2 linked regions of the Oryzias latipes genome follow. The protein of the gene in region 1 purifies or fractionates together with the protein of each later gene. This does not show direct contact. Links are inferred from orthologs where the notes say so. Each region holds a gene or a part of one and is shown on either strand. Other genes may lie near its edges. The genes, in order: clp1 and tsen15.

Evidence for each region.
Region 2: the proteins of clp1 (region 1) and tsen15 purify together in Homo sapiens (affinity purification with mass spectrometry; 4 studies listed by BioGRID and IntAct, counting the BioPlex papers as one, with this or other methods). This does not show direct contact. The link is inferred for Oryzias latipes from reciprocal best matches to the Homo sapiens genes CLP1 and TSEN15.

Annotation. Positions count from the first base shown.
Region 1 is NC_019868.2:14,103,834-14,108,439, reverse strand, and holds clp1 (polyribonucleotide 5'-hydroxyl-kinase Clp1), read left to right. Parts: upstream 1-1,618; 5' UTR 1,619-1,708; intron 1,709-1,716; exon of another isoform or gene 1,717-1,809; intron 1,810-2,008; 5' UTR 2,009-2,010; coding exon 2,011-2,283; intron 2,284-2,376; coding exon 2,377-2,484; intron 2,485-2,576; coding exon 2,577-2,696; intron 2,697-3,357; coding exon 3,358-3,495; intron 3,496-3,597; coding exon 3,598-4,284; 3' UTR 4,285-4,428; downstream 4,429-4,606. UniProt on the Homo sapiens protein: Polynucleotide kinase that can phosphorylate the 5'-hydroxyl groups of double-stranded RNA (dsRNA), single-stranded RNA (ssRNA), double-stranded DNA (dsDNA) and double-stranded DNA:RNA hybrids. dsRNA is phosphorylated more efficiently than dsDNA, and the RNA component of a DNA:RNA hybrid is phosphorylated more efficiently than the DNA component.
Region 2 is NC_019875.2:13,673,338-13,677,943, forward strand, and holds the start of tsen15 (tRNA-splicing endonuclease subunit Sen15), read right to left. Parts: upstream 3,100-4,606; 5' UTR 2,982-3,099; coding exon 2,922-2,981; intron 2,841-2,921; coding exon 2,759-2,840; intron 2,153-2,758; coding exon 2,017-2,152; intron 1,936-2,016; coding exon 1,732-1,935; intron 509-1,731; exon of another isoform or gene 1-508. UniProt on the Homo sapiens protein: Non-catalytic subunit of the tRNA-splicing endonuclease complex, a complex responsible for identification and cleavage of the splice sites in pre-tRNA. It cleaves pre-tRNA at the 5' and 3' splice sites to release the intron.

The sequences.
Region 1 (4,606 bases):
CACATCCTACGCATCTTTCCCTTAATAAATCACAACCGATTCTAAATGCTGCGCAGCTTTTGCGGCTACATGACACGCCCATAGTTGCCCATAAATAGTCCGTGAAACGCCCACAAATGAATATTCATTGATTGCGAAACCATGCCAAACACGGAGAGAAAATCAAAAAAACGTAACTTCACTCAATGTGAAGTAGAAGTTATCGTTGGCGAGGTGGAAAAGAGGAGAATAATGTTGTTTGGAGGGCACAGTGTGGGCATTACTAATGCCAAAAAGGCACGTGAGTGGCAAACGGCGGCAGACGCCGAAAATGCTGCAGCCTCACAACCTCGGACCGTGCCCGAAATAAAAAAGAAAAGGTCGGACATCAAAGTCGAGGCAAAAAAACGTCTAGCGCTGAACCCCCCCCCCCCCACACACACACACACACCCGTGTCTGCCACGAGTGTGTGTGTGTGTGTGGGGGGGGGGGGGGACACCGGAGCTGACCCCTCCTGATGAGAGACTGGCGGCAATAATTGGGGAATCCCTTTTAAGTGGAGTGGTGACTGAGGCGGAGGGGGACACCCACGCGCCAGATGCACCGGGTGACACACCCCCAAAAGCCCGCAGAGGAAGTCGGAACCGGCTCATAAGCCACTCGTCCTCGTTTGCCAGCAAGTCTCCTTGCTGTCTAAAGATGCGTTCACTCCGAATTCTTCCATTTGCCACATCTTCTAAGAGAGCAAGATCAGCCATTGTGCGTCATTACGCATTGTGATGGGGCATTTTATTTCCCTCCATTTAATTACATCTGACAAGCTACAGATGTCGGGAATAATCGACGTGGAAATGGGAAATTGTTCAGCGCAAATGTAATTTCTTGTTGCTTTCTGAATGGTCGAGACAAACGCCATACATTGTTTCATGAAAAATAAAACAAAATAAAGGCATATGCATGAATACCATAATTCTGTAGCTTATGAAGAAATATTTTACTATGAAAACAACTTTCCCCAGTGGAGAATTAATGCATCTCTCTCTATCTATCCATCTGTCTGTCTGATTGCTCCTATATCTGCTCCGCCAGACGGACACATTGACGGGAATATCAGTTGTGTACATTATTTCGTTCTGTTAACTATATTATTTATATTATTTATGAGGATGAATTGCACAACATGCCAATATTGCAGAACATATTTCACTTTTCTTTTTGCAAATATGTGCTCATTTGAATTTCTGTTGTAATTTTTGTTTGATTTTTTTGTTTGTTTCACTGCTGATCGATCAAACGGGTGTTCGTGTAGGCTGTTAATTGTAAGACTTGCTTTGTGAAGTCTTCATGTTATTTATCAGAGGCAGTATTGTCATTTTCACTTTCACGTGTTTCTTCCATCTGCCGACGGCGTCGCCGTTTCTCATTTCATCCGTTTTTGTGCGTACGCCTGGGTCAGAGCTTGCGTGAAGGACCGCACATTTTCCCGTCAAGTTTGCTTTTTATAAATCTCAACTATTGCGTAGAGAGTGGCGTACGCCTTCTTTTGTGCGTACGCAACGTTTATAAATGAGGCCCCTGGAATCAAAACAGAATCAGTTTATAGAAAAATCACGAAATATAAATCACAACCACGAGGGGGCAGCAATGCAGCGAGCGAGAACGCTGTTCTTTCTTACTATTGGTTGCTAGAGTCTTGACGTCATCATCCTGCGACGAACATCTCACTGGGTACACAATTTTTTGGTTCTGTGCTTAAGCTTTGTATATATCAGTATAAGGACGCGAATTATACAGTTTTGTATTCATTAAGCAAATTTGAAGACATTTAGGTGATCTCTGTTATTATTTATATTTGTTCGACATAAAACCCCACATTTCTTCCTTTCCTGCTAATCATCAGTTAGCTTGCCTTGTCGTGTGTTGTTTGACCATTTATTAATTAATGTTGCATTTACCTTTAACTTAACGATATTGTTGTTTTACATGTTGCACCCTGTTATGATTATATAACACCGTTTCTTTCTACAGCGATGGCAACAGAGTCTGTAGAAAAAACTAGCGACGATGCTCCGGCTAACGGCAAAGATTGCACCCGATTCGACTTGGAGAAGGAGACCGAGCTTCGGTTTGAGGTGGAAGCAGGAGAGGCCGCGGAGCAAGTGGAGCTGGAACTCCTGTCGGGACTGGCTGAAGTGTTCGGTTCAGAACTGAACCGCAACAAGAAGTACGTGTTTGGACCAGGATCCAAAATAGCTGTTTTCACCTGGCAAGGATGCAGTGTGAATCTTCATGGAAAGCCAGAGGTGAGTTTAGGATGAAATAAATAATCAGTCTTTTCTGTCCAGTTCTCCATATTAACTTCGAAACATCACCTATTATTTTTTTTTTAACCTCAGGTGGCCTATGTGTCTAAAGATACTCCCATGCTGCTCTACCTGAACACCCACGCTGCCCTGGAACAGATGAGAAAACAAGCAGAACGGGAAAATGAGAGGGGACCAAGGGTGAGGAGCAGCCAGATGGCTAAAATCCCCCCCTATAAATGTAACTTCTCTGTATATTTTGTATTACAAATACATATTTGCTGGCTTTCCAGGTGATGGTGGTGGGTCCCACAGATGTAGGGAAGTCAACAGTGTGTCGAATGCTTCTCAACTACGCTGTCAGGGTTGGCAGGAGACCAACCCTTGTGGAACTGGATGTTGGACAAAGTGGTGTAAGTACATTTAAAGTTGCACAACTTTAAATGTTTTAACCTCGCTACTATAGTCCAGGGAATGGTGTTAGATAGTATAAGACAAGTTGTGCAGACCTAATCTTTATAGTTTTTAAAGTTTTCCCAATGTAAATGGTTTAAATTAAGAAACAAAGCTTGTTATCACTTGTTAGTTCTGAAAATTAATCGTCTTGTCCTCTGTTATCCATAATGCTAAGTAGTATTTGGTTTCATTTATTCATATAAAAAAACTGCATATTTTCAGTGATAAATCAAAAATGTGTGTTTGAGATATTTGTACATCAATGACTAATTTCAATGTTTTCTAGGCATCATCTTTGAATGTCAAGGAGTTACCAAAACACTAGTCACAATCTTGTTGCTCATTGGTCTTTTTTTTCTTTCTTTCTTTTTTTTTTAGCTATTGTACTTCTAAGATGGTTGAACTGTTACTTGTTGTAACATGTGTTTCTGTATAATGACTTGCTGCAAGTACATTTGTTAGTTTTTTTTTTGTTTCCTGTTACAAAAAGTACATTATTTTATTTGTAGGATGCAGATTATTTGTCTTTGTAAACCTGCAATGTAAATGTTGAACAGTTCAGATTTCATTGTGTAATGAATTTACAGTAAGGTGTGACTAAACTTTGTTCTCTCTTAGGTGTCAGTACCAGGGACGGTGTCAGCGCTGTGCATTGAACGGCCGGCGGATGTGGAGGAGGGCTTCTCTGTCCAGGCTCCTCTGGTCTACCACTTTGGCTCCACCACTCCAGGCACCAACATTAAACTTTATAACAAGGTTAGAAGATTGTAGATATACAGTCATTTTATGTTTGTCATTGGCTGTCATCATTTATGCTGTTATTTTCTACTGCTTTTGTGTTTTTATCACTGTGGTTAGCTGACATCCTGCCTCGCTGAGATGTTTTCCCAGCGCTGTGAGGTAAACAGGAAGGCCAGCGTAGGAGGCTGCATCATCAACACCTGCGGCTGGGTGAAGGGTTCAGGATACCAGGCTTTGGTCCACTGTGCCTCCACCTTTCAGGTGGATGTGGTGCTGGTTTTGGACCACGAAAGGCTCTACAATGAGCTTAAACGCGACCTGCCCCACTTTGTGCGAGTTGTACTTCTGCCCAAGTCTGGGGGGGTGGTGGAGCGCTCCAAAGAGTGCCGGCGGGACACCAGGGATGAAAAGATCCGCGAGTATTTCTATGGATTCCGTGGAGTGTCCTACTACCCCTTTTCCTATGAGGTGCGCTTCTCTGACGTCCGCATTTACAAAATTGGTGCACCGTCTATCCCAGACTCGTGCTTACCTCTAGGGATGTCTCAGGACGATACGCAGCTAAAGCTGGTGCCTGTCACACCAGGGAGAGACCTGACGTACCATGTTCTGAGCGTGAGCAGCGTTGACGACGGAGACGAAGGTGCAAGAAAGAGCATTGTGGAGATTCCTGTGTGTGGTTTTATTGTGGTAACTTTTGTTGACACTCAGACACAGGTGATGAAAGTGTTATCCCCAGCACCCAGACCTCTCCCCAGACACACTCTGCTTATCATGGACATACGCTTTATGGACATGAAGTAATGCAGAACATACTTGAAGTGAGGAGAGATGGGTGCATTTGTTTAAAAGTTTTTGGTGTTTTGTAAAAAACCTCTGTAACAAAGTACCTCAGCAATTTGTTGTAAATGATGACATATTTTTAAACTTTTATGTACAAATGCAAAATCTGTCATGTCATTTTTTTCAGTTCCTTAAATAAAAAAAGTATTCTTTGTTATGGAAAGAAAAAAAGTATCTTTTGTATTTATTTTCGTTTAAAAGAACAAAGATTTAGCATTCATTGTTTAGTGTGTGGTTAATCTGAGTCATTTTTCTATGTTTATCCAGAAATTGTCAAGATTTT
Region 2 (4,606 bases), on another chromosome or scaffold:
CAGGCTGATGTAAACCCACATACCACAGCCATCACAGCAGCATGACGTCAGCCCAGCAGAGTCTAGCTGCTGAAATTGCCCGCCTGCCTGCAGCCACCTTAAGAGGACGTGGTGCATTTAGCGAAACGGAAAACACATTAAGGATGACAGGGGAGCTGGAAAAAACAATCCACAACCAAAAACAGAAACTCCAGAAGCATACCACCGCAATGCTCAAGTTTTCTCAAACTGGTTTGAGGAAAATGAAGATGGCCCTCCATGGTGAACATACCCCCGGCCGAGCCCAGTCTGTGGCAGGACTTGATATCAAAATGAGCTCCTTCAGTGGATACAATTCATATTTGTGCAAAAAGCAATGAAAAGCTTTTTATTAATAGCTTTTGTTTTTCCAAATTCCTACATTTGGACATCTTTCATCCGCCTGTGTCTCATTATTGTAATCTGTTTTAATGTAGATCCGCCTCCGTTTTCTAGAAGAATAAAAGTAGTTTCAGTTTTTGTCCCTCAGGCTGACGCTGTTGTTTTTCCTTCAAACAGAAGTCAGAGTTTTTGAATGATTTTGACTCGTATCCCTTTCAGAAATGTTCTGAAACATGTGCGTTGTTTAGTGAGGCTGTTGAACTGCCCCCACCCAAATATATATATATATATATATAAATATATATATATACACACAAAGCCATTTTGTCTACAGGCATGTATGACTAAATAAAAGCCTTCCTTATATGAGAAAGAGCAGAACAGTTTCTTTCTTGGACACTTTGCACAAGCTTTCTTGATAAACTCTGACAGATGTGCATGTGCAGATTGCACAGCTTTCTACAAACCATGGAGGGGTTTTAACTGACAGAAGCCCAGACTGCAGCAGAACCTTCTCTGCCCCATCCATCATCACTAAGACCTACAGTTTGGTTTTTCTTTGACTGGAAAGCAACGTTTTTGAGGCACTTAGAAAAGATTTAGAACCTTTGGCTCCCTTTTCCCCATCGGTGTTCTGCAATTTAAATACACGATTGAGGCCTTGATGTCCACTCTGAGAATCAAAAAGTTATTTTCTTATCTGCATCCTCATAATTAACAAATACAGAAAGGGAAAACTGAAGGGAAGTGTGCATTTACGGATCACAGCTGGTTTAGATCATTTCTGCCTGAGAGGTTGATCAATGCTGCCAGTCAGGGCTTTGTAAAGCTTTATCTTTTAAGTCTGCAGGTTTCGTTTTCCTTTTTTATGGATACGGTTTTGTTTTCTACTAAAAGAATTAGGGAGACAGTATTCAAGTCAAACAAACTGTTTACTTTTTTTTTTTTTTACATCAGAGTGGAGTTTAATTCCAAACAGCAAAAACGAATCTTCTCATCAGAACCGCAGGCACTGGACTCCAAAAGTTTTGGCTTTCTGCTCATCAGAATCCTGGAAAAACACTGTCATGGCAACAGAAGTGATCGACGTGCTTCACAAACAGGCTGGTGAAGATGCGTTCGCTGACATCGGTAAACGGCAAAATGACTTTGGTTTTTGACTACTCTGAATAAAATAGCAGCTCTGTGGGAGAGAAGTCTGCGGTGTCCATTTTAGGGATCGATGTAGGTCTTTCAGTCCACGGTGGAAATGCTTCCACATATGTACCCCTAGAATGATTCACATTGCTCCAGGATGAACCCATCAGCTCCGTTTCAAAACATACGTTGATGGCAGCCAGTAGCCCGTCAGGTAAAAAACAACTTCTTCACCTTTTACCCCTCATCTTCTCACTGTGCTGCTGGAAGCTGTGCTGTCGCCTCTTGCGATGCTGCCGTCGATCCAAATCCTGAAAGGGGCCCACAGGGGGCTCCGGGGTCACCAGCCCATCCGTCAGCCTCTGATAGACCAGGGTGGAGTCCGATGCCACGGCACACAAAAGTACGGGGAAGCCCCTGTCCAGTACGCTGCAGATGCTGCTCAGGAGACAAACAGCTGCATGTCACAAACCCGTGAGCGACGGTTCAAGTCCCAACTCTCATTTGGTGACTCATCACCTGCTGTGGCTCAAGGACTGATGAGCGGGCAGGGGGAGGACAGTGTGAACCGGGGCCCCATCCTTCTCCTTCCCTTCCAGCAAGATTAATCGCAGCTCCGGACTTTTGACGGACGACACCTCCTTCCAGCGACGCACTATGTGAAACCAAATTCACTTTTTATAGTTTGACACCTTTTACTTTATTTTATTTTATTCAGATTTTAAAAATCTGAATAAAAAAAAGTTTAAATTAAATGAAAATTAACTGAATTTTGATATATTTTGATAAATTACTGTAGTTTTCTTGTTTTTGTTTGGAATGCATTTAAGACACTAATATATTATTATTAATAATCAGAAAAATAATTCAAAAAAGTAACAAAAAAATAAAGTATACACATGTGAAAAAAATCTGAATAAAAAAAAAGGTTTAAATTACATGAAAATTAACTTTTTTTAATCTACAAACATGATTTGGGATTTTTGAACCAATTAGATGTACAACTAAATACAAAATTACTTTTTACAGAAGAAAAATCAGCTTATTTAAAACATTGTAAACATCACAGGGTTTCATTCAAAATTTGAATTGAAGCTACTTAGAAATGTTTGAAGGAATACAAGCAAAATCCACAGTCATTCTAATGCATTTTAAACTTAAATTAAAACTTGTTAATAGCCACTTCTGTACTTTGTTATCTTTGTACGTATTTAAGCTCCCTTTATATTTAATGAAACATATCCAGGCTTCATCACATCACCCTCAGTCAGATCCATGCACACCAGAAAGGCAGCGTGCAGCTGCGCGCTGTCTGCGGGCTCCAGAGCCTCCATCTGCCGGTACTGAAACACAGGCAGGCCGCCGTTAGTTCCGCTCACAGCGAACCTTCACGGTCACGTTACTCCAAGCTCCAGGCCGCTCACCGCAGGGTGCTGCAGGATCCAGTTCGCGGGTGGAGCTTTCTCCACCGGAGGTACTGACATCTTTCAGTGTTTATCCTTTAATACAACTACTTGCGCACTACTATAACCGCACGTTTTCGCTAGGAAGGTTGAGCTTTAATTTTTAATGGGTACTACAATAAATGTCGACCGGATGGGAACACGCTCCTTCCTTTATGTTCCGCACCCCAATGAGGCGTGGAGGACCTTTTTATTTCAATAAACGTTATTATACGTTTTTCAATTTGTAGAAATTCACATTCAGCAGCACGATAAAGAAACAATTGTTAATATCAAAAACACATATAAGACCAAACAACAATAATAGTTTAAGCCCTGTGTGTGTGTGTGTTTTTTCTATAAATGGTCATATACAAACCAAGTTAGGGCGCTCAAACGCAATAAATGCGCATGTAGAAAAACAAAACAAAAAACAGGCAAAGGCAAGGCAAAAAACAATTCAAAATAACAATACTTTTGTTATATTTTGATAAATTACTGGAGTTTTCTTGTTTTTGTTTGGAATGCATTTAAGACACTTCTAATATTCAGAAAAATAATTCAAAAAAATACTAAACAAAGGACATGTATTTTACCATTTCCATAAATTAATGAAATGTTTGCATAGAATAATAACAACATTGATGACATCAGAAATTCCCGGGTCCAGATTTTCCGTACAGAAAAAAACATCAGGTAAGGAAAAAAGAGAATCATTAAAACTTTGTGTAACCAATTGTGAAAATCAGTCCAACATATTTTTATCTGGTTGCAACTGTAAAAGAGATATTCTAACGTTTCAGTTTCAGATGAACAGAACATGCATGGTTCCGATTGAAATTTAAATCTTTTATGTAAAAAATCTCCAACAGGGTAAATTTTAGATATTATTTTAAAATGCGTTTCTTTCATTTTAGGTGGATGTGGGTACTTTGTGTATAAAGAAAAGAGTTACTAATTTATTGTGGCATTTTTTTTATCTTTTAGGGGAATATCATTAATTTTCCGCTCTAAAAATTGTGGTTTGGTTGCATTGTATTGTAGTATGTTATGAATAAGATTGAGTGAAGGTGTGGGAATTGCTTTACAGACTTTGTTATAACAGTTACTAGAATCCTTCATTTTGTATTTAGTTACAAACTCATTGTATGATAACAGCCTTCCATCAGTGCGCATCAAGTCATAGACAAATCACACACCATTATCATACCATTCAGACATAAACAAGGATTTCTTGTTTACAGTTATAAATCTGTTTTTCCATAAAACAGTGTTGTGAGGGAAGAAGTTATGAGTGAAAAGCATCTTCCCAAATTCTAAGGCATGCTTGTAAAAGTTTGATGGTTTCATTGGCATTTTTGATAGATTATAATCGCATTTCAACAAAAACTCCAGTCCCCTGACTTTCTCAAAGAGTTTGTTTGGGATATGATACCACATAGAATGAGGCTGGGAAATACAATCTTTTAACCATTTCATTCTAAACGCTACAATTTGTGATTTAAGGTCTAAAGCTTTTAAGCCGCCATTTTTATAATCTCTGACCAGTTTTGGTTTTCATATATAGTGAGTCTTATTTTTCCAAATAGATTTAAGGAGAATAGAATTAGACAACTTGATGTTTTTTGGGGATGTACATGATGAGTGGCAGGGATACACAAGTCTTG